2 linked regions of the Drosophila melanogaster genome follow. The protein of the gene in region 1 interacts with the protein of each later gene in a pairwise test. Each region holds a gene or a part of one and is shown in the gene's direction. Other genes may lie near its edges. The genes, in order: Mes2 and Cp18.

What was found.
Region 2: the proteins of Mes2 (region 1) and Cp18 interact in a two-hybrid assay, tested with the Drosophila melanogaster proteins (one large-scale study listed by BioGRID).

The regions. Positions count from the first base shown.
Region 1 is NT_037436.4:22,941,849-22,953,037, forward strand, and holds Mes2 (Mesoderm-expressed 2), read left to right. Parts: upstream 1-3,808; 5' UTR 3,809-3,938; coding exon 3,939-4,092; intron 4,093-4,146; exon of another isoform or gene 4,147-4,336; intron 4,337-4,421; coding exon 4,422-4,722; intron 4,723-8,683; coding exon 8,684-9,542; 3' UTR 9,543-10,400; downstream 10,401-11,189.
Region 2 is NT_037436.4:8,724,153-8,730,541, forward strand, and holds Cp18 (chorion protein 18), read left to right. Parts: upstream 1-2,638; 5' UTR 2,639-2,682; coding exon 2,683-2,697; intron 2,698-2,871; coding exon 2,872-3,375; 3' UTR 3,376-3,461; downstream 3,462-6,389. Other genes in the region: CG6511 (uncharacterized protein), read left to right, coding at 40-289, 340-651, 715-908, 974-1,359; CG43965 (uncharacterized protein), read right to left, coding at 1,433-1,528, 1,591-1,611; Cp15 (chorion protein 15), read left to right, coding at 4,375-4,386, 4,458-4,793; Cp19 (chorion protein 19), read left to right, coding at 5,756-5,770, 5,860-6,366. UniProt on the Drosophila melanogaster protein: Chorion membrane (egg shell) protein; plays a role in protecting the egg from the environment.

The DNA.
Region 1 (11,189 bases):
TTTTTACAGTTGAGTAGCGTATTGTCCTATAAAACTTAATATAGGTTAAATTTTAAGATAAAATTAAAAACTATAATCTTGCCATATTCGTCCCTCCGTACATCTGAGGGTTTGTTCTTGTGTGCCAAAAAGATTTTCGCCACAAGGTGCAAAAAGTTACCATGGAAACCCTTTTTAACAAGAGAGAAAGCTATAGTCGAGTTCCTCGACTATCATATGCCCTTTACTCAGCTAGAGAGTAATTTAAACATTTATTTGACATATCGATAGAAATTGGGAAAAAATATAATAAAACGAAACAAATCGAAACATGTTTCAAAAGTGTAGGCGTGCTCTGCATGCCTAGTTGAAGTTCTCTAGCTTTCATAGTTCCTGAGATCGATGCCTTCATACGGACAAGACTAGATCCTCTGTATTTTCAACAAAAAGCTCAATGAATAACATTTTCGAAACTATTTTAACTACTGAGGCCACAATCTAATCTAATCTTGCAGACCTTGGTGTCGACTCGAATCTTATATCTTTAGCAGTTTTGAATCGGCTAACCGAGCTTAAGTTCCTCAGAAGACGATCGTTGGACATCTTTTTTTTCCGTCCCAGGCTTTTGTTTTGAGTGTCAGTTTTTCAATGTTCGTTGAGAAATCCCCGATAGAAAATGTACTTAAGCCAATGTAGTATTCATATCACGAAGGCTTAAGATGCACTTATTTTCAACATAATCCAATTTAAAATCTAATTTTTTACCTAATAAGCTTAAAAATAACTAGTTGTTTTAGAATTCTCAATTTTTATGTAAGAAATTTTCGAAATAGATCTAAATTCTATATGTAAACATAGTCTCTTCGGGGGTCCATAAATTGAATGCAAGCTAGTCTGTAAAATCAAAGTTAAGACCTATGAGAGACAGCAAGTAGAGTAAATAGGTATACAAGATTCGTTGAAAAGTATGTAACATGCAGAATTAATTGTTTCCGACCATATACGGTGTATAAATATTCTTGATCAGGATCAATAGCCGAGTTTATCTGGCCTGTCCGTTCGTCTGTCCGTCCGTATGAACGTCGAGATCTCAGGTACTATAAAAGTTGGAAGTTGGTTGAGATTAAGCTTAGAGATTCCAGAGATATAGACGCAGCGCAAGTTTGTTGACTCATGTTTCCACGACCACTATAACGCCCGAATCTGAGAATTATGTTATATTTCTTTCGTCTATTCCTTTCGTCTATTTCGATTTGATGGAATCCAGATATCAGGTCTATGTCAAGTTTGTGTGTATGTAAGTAAATTGTGGATAAACTAACCTTGTATACCCTTGCGCTCTGTGAACAAACGGTCCAATAGCTCAGGCAATCTTCAGATCTGGCCAGATACATATGCATGTAGCTGTGGATAAGAGAAGACAGCAGCGGAAGCAAGCTATTGCCTTGGTAAGGAGGGTGGGGAATCTGATATAGGGCGGAGATCGCAGAGTTTTGCCAGAAAAATGATCGTGACAACGTTTGTGCGGGCACGTTGTGCTGCTTGTTGTTGTCCCAAAACAGAATACATTAATTGACACTTGGCCGGAAATAGTTCATTAGGCATAAATTACGTACAGACAAAGCGTTTTCATTTTTCTCTGGCTCTCTGTTCGCCATTTGCTTCCCTACCGACGCGGTTGTCGATTGCAGTTACTGGATTTCAGCGGCTTAAATGATCGGGGGACAAAATAGACAACCTCGGACGGTCTTATCTGTGCTGCCACTCACACACACGCATTCGCTCAAACGCATTCTCACTCTAACACTCTCGGTGCCTCCCTGTCACTCCTTGGCAAGACCAACATGTGTGATCCAAATGTTCATTTGTAAATTCTATAAACGGGGAAATACGATAATGAACTGAACTTCGACTCTACAACTGCAGCGAACGAAGCCAGCCACGGGCGGAGTCCACAAAAACACACTGTGGTAGAACACTAACCCACCCTTCTTCAACTATTCATTGCTTAAGCTATGGCCAGGCCCCCTGGAAAAAAATTATAAATCTTTAAGTCAAGCAGCCAGCCATTGATGGAATCAGATCGTCCGATGAGTATATTTAGCCCTCTTTACATTTAACAACAAATTTGTGCTCTTATATCGTAAATTCTACACAAAATTATTTATCTTCCAGTAATTATACTCGTTACTCGTAGTATAAAAGAGTATATTAGATTCGTTAAAAAGTATTTAACAGATAGAAAGTATTCATATTATTGATCAGGATCAATAGCCTGTCCGTCCGTTGAACGTCGAAATCTCAGGAGCTATAAGAACTAGAAGGTCAAGATTATGCATACAGATTCTAGAAACATAGACACAGAGCCAGTTTGCTTCCACGCCCACAAGTCGGGCAAAACTGTCACGCCCACACTTTTGAAAACTGTTTTGATATTCTTTCATAGTTTTATTAGTCTTGCAAATGTGTATGGTTTTGCAAAAAAACTTTTAAAAAAGTTTTGATATTTTTTCATCTTTTTTAATTATAAATTTTTATCGATTATGCCACACCCACTATCGACCGTAAGCCGCAGAAACCTGTCACGGACACACATTTGAAAAATATGTTATATCTTTTTTTCACATTTTTATTAGTATTGTAAAATTCTATCGATTTGCTACAAAAACTTTATGCCACGCCCACTCTAACGACCACAAACCTCCCATTTCTTCTTGTCCAATATCTATCGATGGTCCTAAAAAATTATGAAATTTCGCGTTCTCACTTCCACTAGCTGAGTAAAAGGTATTTGATATTCGGGGAACTCGTGCGTTCTCTCTTCTTATTTATTTAAAACAAGAGAGAACAATAGTCGATTACTTTCGACTATCAGATACCCGTTACTCAGCGAATTTTGAGATTTTTTTTGTCATTTCGATGGAAATTTACATTTATATAACAAAATGAAATGAAAATCAAATCCCTTTTCACAACTGAGAGCAGGATACCTGGCCAATAAACGGTTTCATGGCGTCTGGATAGGCTTGCGAACGCACTAACTTGCATGCGAACGGACAGGCGGACAGATCAAGATTATATGTATGTGTGTACTCCAGTAAACTTATAATTATTATGTTAGTCTAAAACCTTAATGCGTTGGAGATTTACAATAAATGTATGTACATATGTACATAGTCATGAATTCTTTAAATTCCTCGAAATTGTTCCGATACGGGAATCGACCCCCCTATATTAATTGAAGCTGATATGGCCGAAGTGCAGCGTATTCTGCCAAGAAACGCTATCCAAGTATTTTGGTACGTATGTATGTATGTACATACATGTGTATATGGTACATTCATGTAGTACATACATACATATGTATGCAAGTACGTACGAACGCTCGACAATTCCTCTGCTAAAACCAAATGCGAACGCGTCAACGGATTTTTGTATTACACACATTTTCTGTTGTTTCGTTCTGCGCGTTCTCCCTGTTGTGTGTGTGTGTGTGTGCGACGCCGCTTTTCGCTTGCTTTTACTTTCTGTGGCTTGTGATTGCGATTAAACGGGGTTTCCATCCGGCGAGTCGCGCTCTAGGCAGCGCCCGGAGAGCGCTTTAGACCTATATGTCTGGATCAGATAACGGGAACGGTGGCAGCGAGCCACGGCCGGAGAGAGACAGAGAGCGCAAAGAGCTATAGCTGGCTCTCATGTCGATGTCGAATGCGCGTGATTTTTTGGCTCTGAATGCGGGCTTGCTGCCAACTGCGCTGCCGGCTCGGCGTCGACGACGGCTGAGCGCAGCCCGCTTGCCGCGGTGGTTGTTATTTTCTGGTCTTGGTTTTTAGTTGCCGTTTAAACTTGGTCGTGAGAGGGTAGCAGCCCCGTTATCAGCCGACCGCGATCGCGTCCGAACTAAAGAGTACTGTGGAGCCCTGGCCAGTTCAAGCCTTCAAATCCTCCAGAACATTCTGATGGCGCCCGTGAGCGGCTGTTTGCCCACCGCCACCCACTCGCTGCAGGACATGAGTGCTGCCGCCGCGGCAATCGCTCTTGACATGAAGCCCAAGTTGGAGCCCCACCCCCTGGCCGCCGCAACTGCCATGCCCTCTCAGAAGATAAAGAAATGTGCGTACACAGATTTATTCCCCACATTCATGCAAACATACGTACATACATATGTATATATGTACAATTTTTATGCAAAATGCAGTCGAAAGTCGATACGTCGAACAAGCAGTAGAATTTATTTTATCTCTTCATTGCCTATTCAAATAGTTCGGTTCACCCTATGTGCAATGTACATACATATACGTACATACGTATGTATGTACATTTGGGTTAAAAAAGTTCGACTTATAGAAGTTTTGAGGTGCCTGTACCGTGCTTTCTTAAAATATTCGACTGTCGAGACTCGAGGACTTATATTATTTGCATTCATTTTTGTGTCCCAACAGTGGTTCGGCGCAACGCCTCCGACAAGCTGAAGCTCATCCAAATGGTGCACGACAATCCAATTCTCTGGGACTCCCGTCTCCCGAATTTCAAGGGCGCCGAAGAAGAAAAGAACCGAGCCTGGGAGCACATAGGCCGCGAGTTCAACGCTCCCGGGCGTCGCGTTGCACGGGCCTTCAAGTCCTTGAGGGAATCCTACCGCCGTGAACTCGCCCACGTCAAGCTAATGGGCAATGGCTTCAAGCCCAAGTGGAGTCTCTATGAGGCCATGGATTTCCTGCGCGATGTCATCAGAGAACGAAAGTAAGTATAAGGAATAGTATTTTAGTGAACTGGTGACCAGGTGATTCTCTTAAATTTAAAACCGTCAAGGAAGTTTCATGCCAATATCGACTCCTGGGGTTGACCAGTAATATAGAGCCCGTTATGAATTTTGCATTCTCTGCTTGACCCATTATTGCCACACCACAAATCATGTCACTAAAAATGATCTTCATCCAAATGGCTTTACAAAAGCAAAAGCAATAATAGAACACGAGAGAAGAGCGCTTAAATTTAAAATTTGACAGAAATACGAGTCATTCTTATAATCGAATAGTAAAGTACATGAAATTCTATATCAACGAATAATTATTACAGAACGTATTGCACTTATTTCCAAGTTTTCTTTTAATCTTTCTAGGCAATATTTACCTTTCCCAAAATGATCTTAATTAACGTACTTATTCTTATCCTCTGCTTTTTGGAGATCGATACCAAAACAAATCTAAAAGTGGAACCGTTATTTCTCAAAAGTAATGCTCCCTTACGACTACAGTTCTTCAATAATATCGTCTTACACTCTGAACATTATTTGTGTCAGGAGTACATTTGGCTACTTATATTACAATGAGTTTGATAAGCCGTCACTAACCATACAACCATCGAACAACGGTCAAAGTTTGGCTTGAGTCGTGAATAACAGTTTTCGGTTTAGATTGGTCTTCTGTTTTGGTCATACACGGATTGATTCATGCGAAACAAATACATGCATCAGTTTGAAGACTAGCTAACTTATACACAATAATAATGTGACTCACCTTTCCAACGATCATTTACATTGGTCGAAGGTATTGTATGCTTTCCAGTCCTGTGTCTGAAAGAGGTTTTTCCGAATCTGCCCCCCTAAAAATATGTGTGCTTGTCAGTAGTCAGTCAAGCGAACAATGTTGTTTAGCTTGGCTCAATCAAAAATAATTATTGCAGGAAATTCCAAGAATCTTATCATTTTATGCGAGTAGCCACTTCAGCTTATGTACACTGAGAAGTGTATGAGTTTGTGAGTCATGGCTTAGATCTAATGTTGGACAAAATATGTCAATAAATTTATTTCAAAAATCATAGAATCACGGACTTCGTAAAGATCTGACAATTTAAATAAATTGAGAATTCGGAAATATGTTCAGATCGAATAGACAATACATACAATTGTCACATAAAAAACATGTGATAAGTTTAGCATAAAGTTATTCGAACCGTAACTACGAAATTCCACTTCCATTCGAGCCTTCGTACAAAACTCATCCCTTAGCCCAGTCGATTTGCATAAACGCCCAACAATTCGAGCAAATCTCAGCACCGTGTCTGAGAAAACATCTGCCCAGCGAAAAAGAATAGCAAAAACAAGGCAAGGGGGCATATGGACACTAAGGAGCGGTAATGTGGAAAAAACCAATCCGAACAAAGGAATGACCGGGCCAGAGACCCGCAAATGGTCTCAGTCGAGAGTCTGCCCCGTCCAATGTTCTGGCTCATATGGAGCCGTGCTCGAGCTGCGGGTGTGTGTGTGTGTGTGAGTGTGTGTACTTTATGTACATATTTATATGAAATAAGGCCATTTCCTTTCAATTGACTGTACCCACATGGGCAACAAGCAGTCGACGGCCCCGACACATGCCCGCGCACACTCACCCATGGTGTGTGTATATATTTAAATTTTTATTATTGTGAGCTGATAACAGACAGCTCAACGGGCCCGGCCAGTCGGGCAGCGCTTGAGCCGGAGCTATAGCCGCAGCTATAGCCACAGCCATAGCCATAACACAGATCTCGCCAAGCGGCGAATATTATACAACGTCGCAGCATCGTCGCTGCTTGAACCAAAAACGAAATTGAGGGAAGCTGCAAACGCAAGACCAAGTCCATCGAATAGTGCTTGCGAGAGGGGTGGGGACTATGGGAAGGCGCCGAGAGAGCGATAAATTAATGAGAGCACTACGAAAATGACAATCAGCACCGAAGAATACGGATTGCGAGTGGACCAAGTTGGGAAAGACTGGTAGCTCGTGAGCGAGAAAGGGGCTGGTAAGGGAAAATGAGCGAGGTTCTGCCTGTGTGTGTATGACATGAGCACCGAACACTCGTAAAGATCGCTGTATGGGTGAGCTGAGTAATTGAACGAATAGCTTGGTCTGACTTCGGCCAGGGTTAAAAATATGCCCACGACCATTAGCCAGCCGCATCGGCCGCGTCCCGGCCAAGGGGTTGCTGAGACCCAGAGTCGGGGTCTGGACGCCTCTTTCAGGCTGCCCTGGCCCACATGCTTTCGTCGTTCAGTCCTCTCTTAATGGGGGGCTCTCGTACCCTCACCCTCACACACACGAGGCCACTTGGGTGTGAAAGTTCTGCTGGGCTCTGTCTGTGTCACGCTTATGATTTAATAAGCAAATGTGCTGCGAAATTGCTGAAATTGTTTGGCTGTCCGTCATCCCCACAATCCGAATCTCGCCCCACGCCCTGAAATCACTGTCCGCCGTATTTCGCATTGAAATGCTTTAGCCAATGCGTCACGGAAGAAGAAAAGTGGGCGGTAGTCCGTGCTTGCCTTTTGATTCTCGTACCTTTAAATGCCTTTGCATGGAGCTAGTTCTTGCCTAATAAATCATAATAAAAAGTTCTAGGTCTGCAAAAATCTAAAATCTCATTCGGACCATTGGAATATTTAATTATGTTATTATTATATTAATATTCATAGATTTGTTTCCAAGTGCAGGTGATAGAGATTTTAGAAAACGAATTCAAACCACAAAAACCCATAAACAATCTCGGAAAACGGCTTGGGACCTAAGCAAGAGCGGAAGCAAATAATGATAAGCTGAGCGATTCAAACCCCGAAAAGAAACCAAGTCAAAATAATGAAGTAAATAAAGCCATTCCCGATTGTGGAACATGTGAAAATGTATTTCGACTCGATTAGTCCTGCGAGTTTTTTGGTCTTGGCTGGCGAGCGAGTATCAGTTTTCAAATTTTACAATTGTCAACTACCTGCAGCCGATTGCGGTGATAAGGCTGTCTTCTAGGTCGCCCATGCCCGTGCCTACCACTAGGCCAGGTCTTTGCATTCGGCAAATAACTATAGGTATGGGGGAGGCCCAAAATAGCCACGTTCAGATGTTCTTTGAGCACCCGGCCCAGGCAGCTGCATTGCCTGTGAAAATGCTCTTGAAACTTGAGACGCGTAAGGAGAGAGACAGGAAGCGATACTACACTGAAAGACATTTATGTTTATGCATTTCTTGTGTTATTGCCTTAAACAGACAAGATTTCAAAATGGGGATATGAATCGTTGAGTCACAGGAAACATATGAACTCTATAAGGCTAATACAATTATATTTTTGTGTGTTTTCGAACTCACAATTAATACGAACATGCTTTCCTTATCAGGGTCACTATCCGATCGCAATGTCCGTCGGCATAAAACAAAGCTAATTAGTTGATGACAACCTAGCAAAGTTTTACGAACTTATTGATTTGTCTTTCAGACTATTCTATTTCTAATTTTTTGCCCAACGTTTTGCAAATGATTATTGCCAGCATTATTTAATATTTTTTTATTTATTGTAATTAATATAATTTAAGATAAGAGAAAGAAAATCTGTTATACTATAAATGATGTGTGAGAGACAAAGAAAAGTATTCTTTCTACTTTTAATTTAAGAACGTAGGCGGTTCTTAAAGTGTATTAAAAACAATGTACATAACCACTAGTCACGGTTATATGTTATTGTATTTAATAAATTTATTAATCTTTTTGTATGCCCTTTTAAACAACCTCCTTCATCAAATTTTTATTAGTATTCAACTTAACATCAATACAAAATAAAAAAATACCGCAGACTTGCTGCGAATATGAATATTGAATATGACGCAAAAGTAAAACCCAACCTTAAACCCGTTAAAATGTGAAATAATTTAGTCTTCTAACATATGTTCTTTCTATTATAGGGGCGCTTCGCATGCAACCGATCTAAGCCTGACAACCTATGGCCATATTAACAATAACAACAACAACAACAACAACAGTAACAGCTTGGCTGCAGGGGGAAAGGCAATGACCCTGAAGCTGTCCAATTCCTTTAACGAGTCCGCCTCAGTGTTAAATCTCTCAAAGTGCTCCTCGCTCAATGTAAGCGACGATCACTACTATTGCGACTACTATGTGAAGCCGGAGCTGGATCTCTCGGTGGGCGGTGGGGCCGGAAGTAGCACAAGTGGGAGTAGCTCCGGCGGCGGGCCACTTCCTCTGCCCGCTCACCAGGCTCACAACGACAGTCGGGTGAGCTCAACGAGAAACGAGCAAAGGGCACAGCATCACAGCTATGAAGACATGGACGACAGCTCGATACGCAGCGGGGACGAAGATATCGCCCACGCATCCGACGTAGTGGAGGAGTTGGATGCCATCGATGCAGATTTCCCTTATCCTCTGATTCTGGATTCCAACTCACGCGGTAGCCCCAATGTTGGTGTGGACGATGTGGTCATGTCCCGCAAGCTTCGCCGTAACGTCGATCAAGATGTTTTGGAGGAAGGAAACGGTCACGGCGATGCGGTTATCGATGGTGACGACTACGAAGAACAAATGCTGCAACAGCACCGCCATCTCCGGCAGCAACAGGGCGTCGCAAGCGGAGGGTTGGATCTGCCGCCCCCACAAACTGTACGTGAGGTTTTGAACTCCAAGTTCTGCGGCTTTATTTCAGCCAAGCTAAACAGCATGGAGGACTCGGACGCGGACAATTTAATGAATCGCATTCTTCTCTTACTGGTTCAAGTGCAGCAGTGCGAAGGGTCCACGAAATAGACAGCGGAGGAGAAGAGCGCTAAGTGTACGGGTGTAATTATAGTAGCCAAAAAAAAGTACATAATGGAATGATGTTGCTGCTCAGAGCACTTATAACTGAATTTTCTTGCCATTATATATTACTTTCCTAAAGAAATACAAATTTACTTGCCAATGCCAAATCTGTGCCATACCAAAAGGATCAATCAAATATGAATGATTTTCTAAAACATTCTCTAATTTTTTCGCTCCTATTAACAAAAATGAACCAAACTCAACGAAAAGACAACACAAAGACGTAAACCAAGAAATAGCAAAATAAGAAACATAGATTAATTAAGCTTTAAATGTTAATTTCGTTTTAAGTCGATCAACTGTAGTTCATACTCATGCCAACGTCTCATCACATGAAACAATTCTTTATATAACCTTTTATTTTACCCAGATTATATCGCCTATATATAATATAACTTCTTGTTAAGTTGAAAACGTAGAAATTAGAAAAGAAAAGTTTTTAACTTAAAAAAGCGAGCATATTACTCATAGTTTCATATACAGCGATATGAATATTAACAATATCTGAACACTAAATGAGAACAGCTTTAACAATTTGTCGTTTTTGAATAAAACACCATCTTTGGCAGTAATGCTTTGCTATCGATGTACGCAGACAATGTTTTGGCCATTCAGCCCAATTTAAATCAAAAATTTTGAAAAAGTTTTCCGTTTTTCGGTGGATATTGAGTAATAAAGTACCTTTAAATATAAAAAAATCAAACGTGTCTACCGAACATGAACATAATCAGCCGATTTTTATTAATTTAAATCCGAAATTATTTATAGTCAGGAATAAATATTTTATATCGATACCAAATCAGGAAACTTTGTTATCCATTTTATTCTTGCGATTATTGCTATGGCATTCACGACTGACTAGCTTTATAGACTAGGCAGTTCACATTGATGGAGCATTTATAACTTTTACGGTTGCAAATGCCCCCTTTACTGTGTGGCAAATATCTGACTAAAATCAATGTACCTTCTGCAAAGGTATACAAATTATTAATAATGCGAAAGGGGATTTTTTTCCTCTTGTTGGTTTCGGTGTAAATCTACATACTTAAAGCTCCTAAACTAAACAAAATTTGAATATGATACTCAAATAGCAACAACAGCCCTACGACAATGGAAAGCACTCACATTGGGCCTGTAACACATCCATATAGCATCCTGCCAATTCTGCTCAAGTAAGACTGCAGGAATTCCAATTCATTAATACAGAGGACGTATAGGCGAAGAACAAAGGAACAAAAGACTACAACAACGTATAAATACCATGGCAGGCAGATGTGGGTAAGCCTAGCCAAAAAAAACGGCGAATCGAGCCTGGGTATCGCTGCATATGACCGAAAAATTTATTAAGATAAATACATAGCCACATCGAAACCTACGGTAAGCAACCCCTATCAAGAGATTCGGCCTGGCCAAGGTATCTAGCTACCTCAAACCCTTAAACCCAAAAAGAGCGTTGCGCATGCGCAGAAGATGCCAAAACTCAGCCCTAGCCTCGACGCAGCCCAAAACTGGTTTTTCAACGCAATAATAGCTGAATGAATTCATTGAAGGCCGTAATGCAGTGCCCCTAAGGGATGCTGCCTGCGTTAGCAC
Region 2 (6,389 bases), about 14 Mb from region 1:
AAATCATAAATATATACTAATGGAAATTATAAATTGCAGAGGAATACAGTGAGTTAATGAAGAAGAAGGAGTCCACAAAAGACGCTGGAAATGACCAAACGGAGGATAGCCCAACGGCAGATCCTTCCGAGCCGTTGTATGTGAAACTGACAGTTAATTCTTATGATTGCCTACGTCGAGGAATAGAAGCCTTCACTGCCGTGAAAGATAATGTCAATTTGGCGTTTCTATATTGCAATATTGGTAGATTTATGCGCCTGCGCGCCCATCTTATCATGCCCAATGAGAGGTAAATAGTGTTTTAATAATCATGATTCGTTTTAACTCCTTTTCATTTAGTGCCATAACCTTAGAAAGCCAAAAAGCCTTCTACAACGAGGCATTCAGCTATTACGTGAAGGCCAAAGATTGTCTGGATACTCGTAAAGCAAACCCCGAACTATGGGACCTCGTCCATTGGGAATTATCCACTGCCACTTTTACGTTAGCTAAACAACTTCAGGACCACAGCGCAGCAGACAAATCCAGCCTAGTTGACGCCTCCAAAGAAGTGCTGGAATTGCTTCAGAAATCGTTGCGACTTTGTGATGTCGAACACCCTGGTGCACGACAAGTGCTATACAGTTTTCGATCGGGCTTAATACACAAAAGGTAGGACGGAGGACTATGAGTTGCAATTAGCAAATGCATAAAAACAATTATTGACTTTTCCAGGATTGCTTCCTTCCACTACTCGCAGCTGCGTTCTCATGGCTGTTGTGATTTCTCTCAGCTGCCCAAATCTACTCTACAGCTCTGTAAATACCACTACGAGAAGGCCACTCAAATTCTAGAGAGCCTTAAGGAGGTGGGAGACCTGTTGGTGGTGCAGCTAGAGCGGATTTCCCTTCATGAATTTCTGGCCGAACGTGAGTATACCAGATGGTAAAGGCCACTAAGAGTTAGAAAATAAATTAATTCAATTTTCCGGCAGTTTCCACTCACACCGCACAGAAGATCAAGCAAATGCAAGCGGCTTTGGAAATTTGTTTACAGTGTCACCTCATATTTGCCCACGTCATCGATACTAACAGTGGCCAAGTGGCCGATGACGAGTTCGCCGGCCATTTGACGCTCTTTGAAAGCCGCCTGCAGAATGCGCTGAAGACGCTTACGAAGCTCACGCTGGCCGGCAAGGATCCCAAGCAGTTGTCAAAGCTGTACAAGCGCATGTATATGGAAACCTTGACTGGGAAACATGGCCTAGGGGCCCAGCAATCGTCGACAGCTTGCTTAAAGCATTTGCACATGCTGCTCGCCCGGCTACGGGCCATGTGCGAAACACAGCTGGCCCCGCGACCAGCCGTACGTGTCTTCTGATAGGTTTTGCCCCAGAACCCACAACAGTTCGAATTGTATGCATTGCTTGACGCTTGTTTATTGATGTATCATCTCAGCCCCGCCGCCCGCAGCCGCATTCATCGCTCTCCAAATGATCTGCTCCGATCTGCAAAGCAGCCAGTACAAGCAGCACAGCCAACTGTAGGATCTGCAGATTGAAATTACCATTAATGTGTCCATGCCGATGAAACCATAATCATCTCATCTCACCTTGCAACGCAGACTACTCATTTTGTAAGCGTTTGGAGACAGTTTTCTGATCTTGTCATCGGCAGCTCGGCTCTTATAAAGTCTGAGGGCCCTGGCCCAAACGTGTCGTTTATCTAGATTAGCCTCCGCTAAATATCTTGTTCAACAAGCTGGCTATATCGGACTTGTGATGGATGTTCAGATCCGTCAATCTTGGCTTGAGGTTTCAGCCGACTTACATTTGCATTGTATTGCGAATAATGTTACTATTTAATATTTATCGTGTCGTCGTTGGCGCTAGTTCCAGTTTCCAGTCTTATAATATTTTTACTTAATTCCTAAGAGCAAAGCAACTAGCTTAAATCCCAATAAAGCAATCTTGAAGAGAAAATGCATACGGAGAAAGATCGTTTTCACTCGTCTTCTGGCTACTGGATGCTGGTACCCTGAGCCTGGCCAACATCTAAATAATTTATTATTCATTATTAAATGTTTGCGCCCGCCCATAAGCCATTCACAATTTGTGTAGCGCCAATTGAATGTTATAAAAAGCTTAGTGCGGCAGTTTGGAAAGTGGAACGGTTGTGTTTATAATTTTATTGTAATTTTATCTCAATTTTTTTTGCTTTTGTATATAAATTCTACCAACGCAGCAGAATTTTCAGGCCACTGCCTTGACTTCACTGTGTCACTGAAAAATCGGTGTCAAGCTCTCGGCACCGTGGGGCAAAGCAACTGCAATACTGATCGAAACTATGCGGATCCGGAGCACGAAGAGTCATGCGGTCGGAATCTTACGTAATGGGTCTCGTCTCTGGTAGACGATGGCGTAAGCACAGACGCCTGCTATCTGGACCGGCCCGAATTGAGAGCCAGCATTTTGGCCAGTGCGGATTCGGCCTGGCTGCACGTCTCCGGCGGCGTCTCAAGATTGCTGGACAAAGAGGCGAGGCCTGGAACTGCGTCTGCGGGAACCCGGAGAGCCGAAACTTGCATCATATTCGTCACGTAAGAGTTGGGCCTCTGCCTGGATCTGGTATAAAAACAAAACATTGCGCCAGAATAAGACATTAGTTACCTTCGCATCGATCAACTAACCAACTCAGCCTCAGAATGATGAAGTTCATGGTAAGCCTTAAGTTCCAATATTGTTTCTATTGACACCTCAACTGAGTCCAGTATGATCCTTTCAATAAAATATAACTACATATTATAATAATTGGATAATATGATTGGATCTTTCTTTTCTAATACACTTCAGTCTAAACCCAAATTAATTGAATTTTTTCTTGAATCCCTTAGTGCATCTGCCTCTGCGCCATCTCTGCCGTTTCGGCCAACTCCTACGGACGTTCCCGTGGTGGATACGGTGGTGCCCCAGTCGGTGGCTATGCCTACCAGGTGCAGCCTGCCCTGACCGTTAAGGCGATCGTTCCCTCATACGGTGGTGGATACGGCGGAAACCATGGAGGATATGGCGGTGCCTACGAGTCGGTGCCTGTGCCCGTGTCCTCTGCCTACAGCGGTGCCAATGTGGGATCTCAGTACTCCGGTTCCGGCTACGGCGGTGCCCCACCAGTTGATGCCCAGGCCATTGCCCTCGCCAAGCTCGCCCTGGCCGCTCCCAGCGCTGGAGCTCCTCTGGTCTGGAAGGAGGCTCCCCGCTACGCCCAGCCCGTCTATCCCCCCACCAGCTACGTGAACCAGGAGTACGGACACAGCGAGAAGGTGAAGGGAGGCTCCGCAGCCGCTGCTGCCAGCTCCGTGGCCGCCGGAAAGAAGGGCTACAAGAGGCCCAGCTACTAAGTGGCAAAACGTTGAACAGTGAACCAAAAACTTACCTGCCCATAAGGAACTAGGTCATAATAATAAAAGCCAAAACATCAAGACTTAAAATTTTGAGTACTGTATTCTTGCTGGGTTTTTAGTTTCGGGCCGAGAATTGAGATCTGCATATCTTAGCTGAATTGGCATAGACTTGCGGTTCATTGCAATGCCAAGCGATACTTTGAGCCAGCAAAAATTTCGTGGTTTCGTAGTTAAATGAAAATGCTGCTTAAAGTGCTAAAGAATAATTCTCATGGCGAATGAAGCTGAAAAGCTAAAACTAAATTCATTTGTGGGGCCACTTTAAAACTATAGTTCGTCAAATAAGCCTTGACTTTTTTAAGTTACCATAAGTAAAGAACCTATTAGATAAAATGAGATTAGATAGAATATAGTTTTGCTTGAAATTATGTTTTTGTAAAATTTCAAAATGATTGAAATACTTTAAAATGTTTTAGTTATAATTTTAAGTTTTGTATGTGACTAGTGGTCACTTTAAAGGGATGATTCTATATAGGTTTTATCAGAAAAACCGGCTGGAACCAGTTCTAGAAGAATCCTCACTTAGACAAGCCAAGTTCCGGACACAACCGACCTGGAAACCATTACCCCCGAGAATGTGGATAATATAAAGTTCAATTCAACAAATTTTGGACTGTATTCGAAAATAAACGCGTTCGTGGTTCCCATTTGGAAGAGTCGCGTGTTCGTAGTGCTATCACTACCCAACACCCGGTAGAATAGCACATCGCGTAACCAAGCGATTTTATAATGGCTTGACAACAAGTACATAAATCAAATGTGAGTATATTCCAGCCGGGCAATTATGAAATGCCATTTCTGGGCTGAAACAGAACAATTAGTGTATATAGGTCACGTAAATGTCCAGGCTAAAATTTGCGTATAAAAGCGAGCGTTTCTGGTCGGTAAATCATAGTTTGATTGATTACCCCAAACCAACAAAACTAAGCACTCACCATGAAGTACCTGGTAAGTTGTGGTAGTCCCCGTGAAGGAGTGGCAGCCAACTGATCCTCCGGATTTCCCCTTTTCACCTTCAGATTGTCTGCGTTACCCTGGCCCTTTTCGCCTACATCAACGCCAGCCCAGCGTACGGCAACCGTGGAGGTTATGGTGGTGGCTACGGTGGTGGCTACGGTCCTGTTCAGCGCGTCGTCTACGAGGAGGTGCCCGCCTACGGACCATCCCGTGGCTACAACAGCTATCCCCGCAGCCTGCGATCGGAGGGTAATGGAGGAAGTGCCGCTGCCGCTGCCGCCGCTTCCGCCGCTGCCGTGAATCCCGGAACCTACAAGCAGTACGCCATTCCCTCCTACGAGTTGGATGGCGCTCGCGGCTACGAGATCGGACACGGCTACGGCCAACGTGCTTACTAATTCTCGCTTCATCGGCAGTGAATTGAACTATCGACTCCTTGCTAAAATCCTCGAGTGGCTGTCATGGCGAAACTCTGAGAATCAGTGAATAAAAGCAGCTTGAACGCAATGGAAAATACCGAAAAGAAATACGTATTGTGTGTTTTGCATTGTGACATACTTTTCAGCGCATTCGGGTTAAGATTTAGCGGTGGGTCATTATTATTATTCCACACACAAGATGGGTTTCAAAGTGGGGCAGCTAGAATATTCACTGCGGCAGATTGTACAATACTATATAGAAGTACTATTGCACTTTAAGCTACAAAGTCGACAGGTTAAGCTTCAGTGACTCAAGAATTTAGTCACCTATGAAACCCTTAGTTTCACTAATAGATTCTTAGACGAACATCTTAAATTGTATAATCAAACAAAGGGCTATATATATTACAATAACATATTTGCCAATGTGCATAAAGGCATAGACTCTGAAGTTATGTTTTATCGTTAAAATTTGGTTTGTTCTGTTTACTTGAAGGTATAGATAATATTATAAAATCCATATCCAATAACCATTGGTCAGTCGTTGGCCCGTTATCCCATTAACCCGCTTGCGTTCCCGCACGCACCCAAATGCAACCATTGATTTTGGGCCTCAGTTGGGAGCATCTGCATCTGCCACCCCCAACGAAGGTCAACCGGCGAATGGAGGCGATACGATACGCTGCGGTGAGCAACCTGCTCGAGCCGAAACGAGCTCAACGTGGAGCCCCGATATCTGGCTAGGAAAAGCTAGAAATCCACAGAAAGTTCCCCAACAAACTGGCCGAGAAGAGACGACGAAGCCAGCTCTTGAGCCGTGATAAATTTCTGGGCGAGATCACGTTTCGAGTGCAACAATAAATTTGCTTATATAAAGAAGTGTGCTTGGCCATTTAATATGTTAATTCAGCCAACTGTGCCAAAACCCATACATCATAGCCATGAACAAGTTCGCTGTAAGTGTCCCTGAGAACCGCTTCCGTATTCCCTGCCGCTCTTTCATTTTCCGGACTTATGCTAACTGAAAGTTTTCCTGATTTTCCAGACTCTGGCAGTCATCTTCTGCGCCTGCATCGTGGGCAGCTGCTACGCCAACTACGGTGGCCAGCAGAGCTACGGACAGCGATCTTACGGTCAGGATAGCTCCGCCGCCTCCGCCGCCAGCTCAGCAGCTGCTGCTGGAGCCGAGGGTCAGCAGCGTTATGAGCGCCCCGTGGAGATCATCGCCGGCGGTTACCGCGGCAGCTATGCCCCCGAGATCCTGCGTCCCATCCAGGTCAGCGGTGGATATGGCGGTGAGCGACGTGGCTACAACGGTGGCAACTACCGTCGTGCCGGCTACGGACCCCGTTGGACTGTCCAGCCCGCCGGTGCCACCCTCCTGTACCCCGGCCAGAACAACTACAAGGCTTACGTCTCGCCCCCGGAGTACAGCAAGGTGATCCTGCCCATCCGCCCTGCTGCTCCAGTGGCCAAGCTTTTCGTCCCAGAGAACCAGTATGGCAACCAGTACGTTAGCCAGTACTCTGCACCCCGCAGCAGCGGCTACTAAGCGCATACTTGATTATCCCCAGC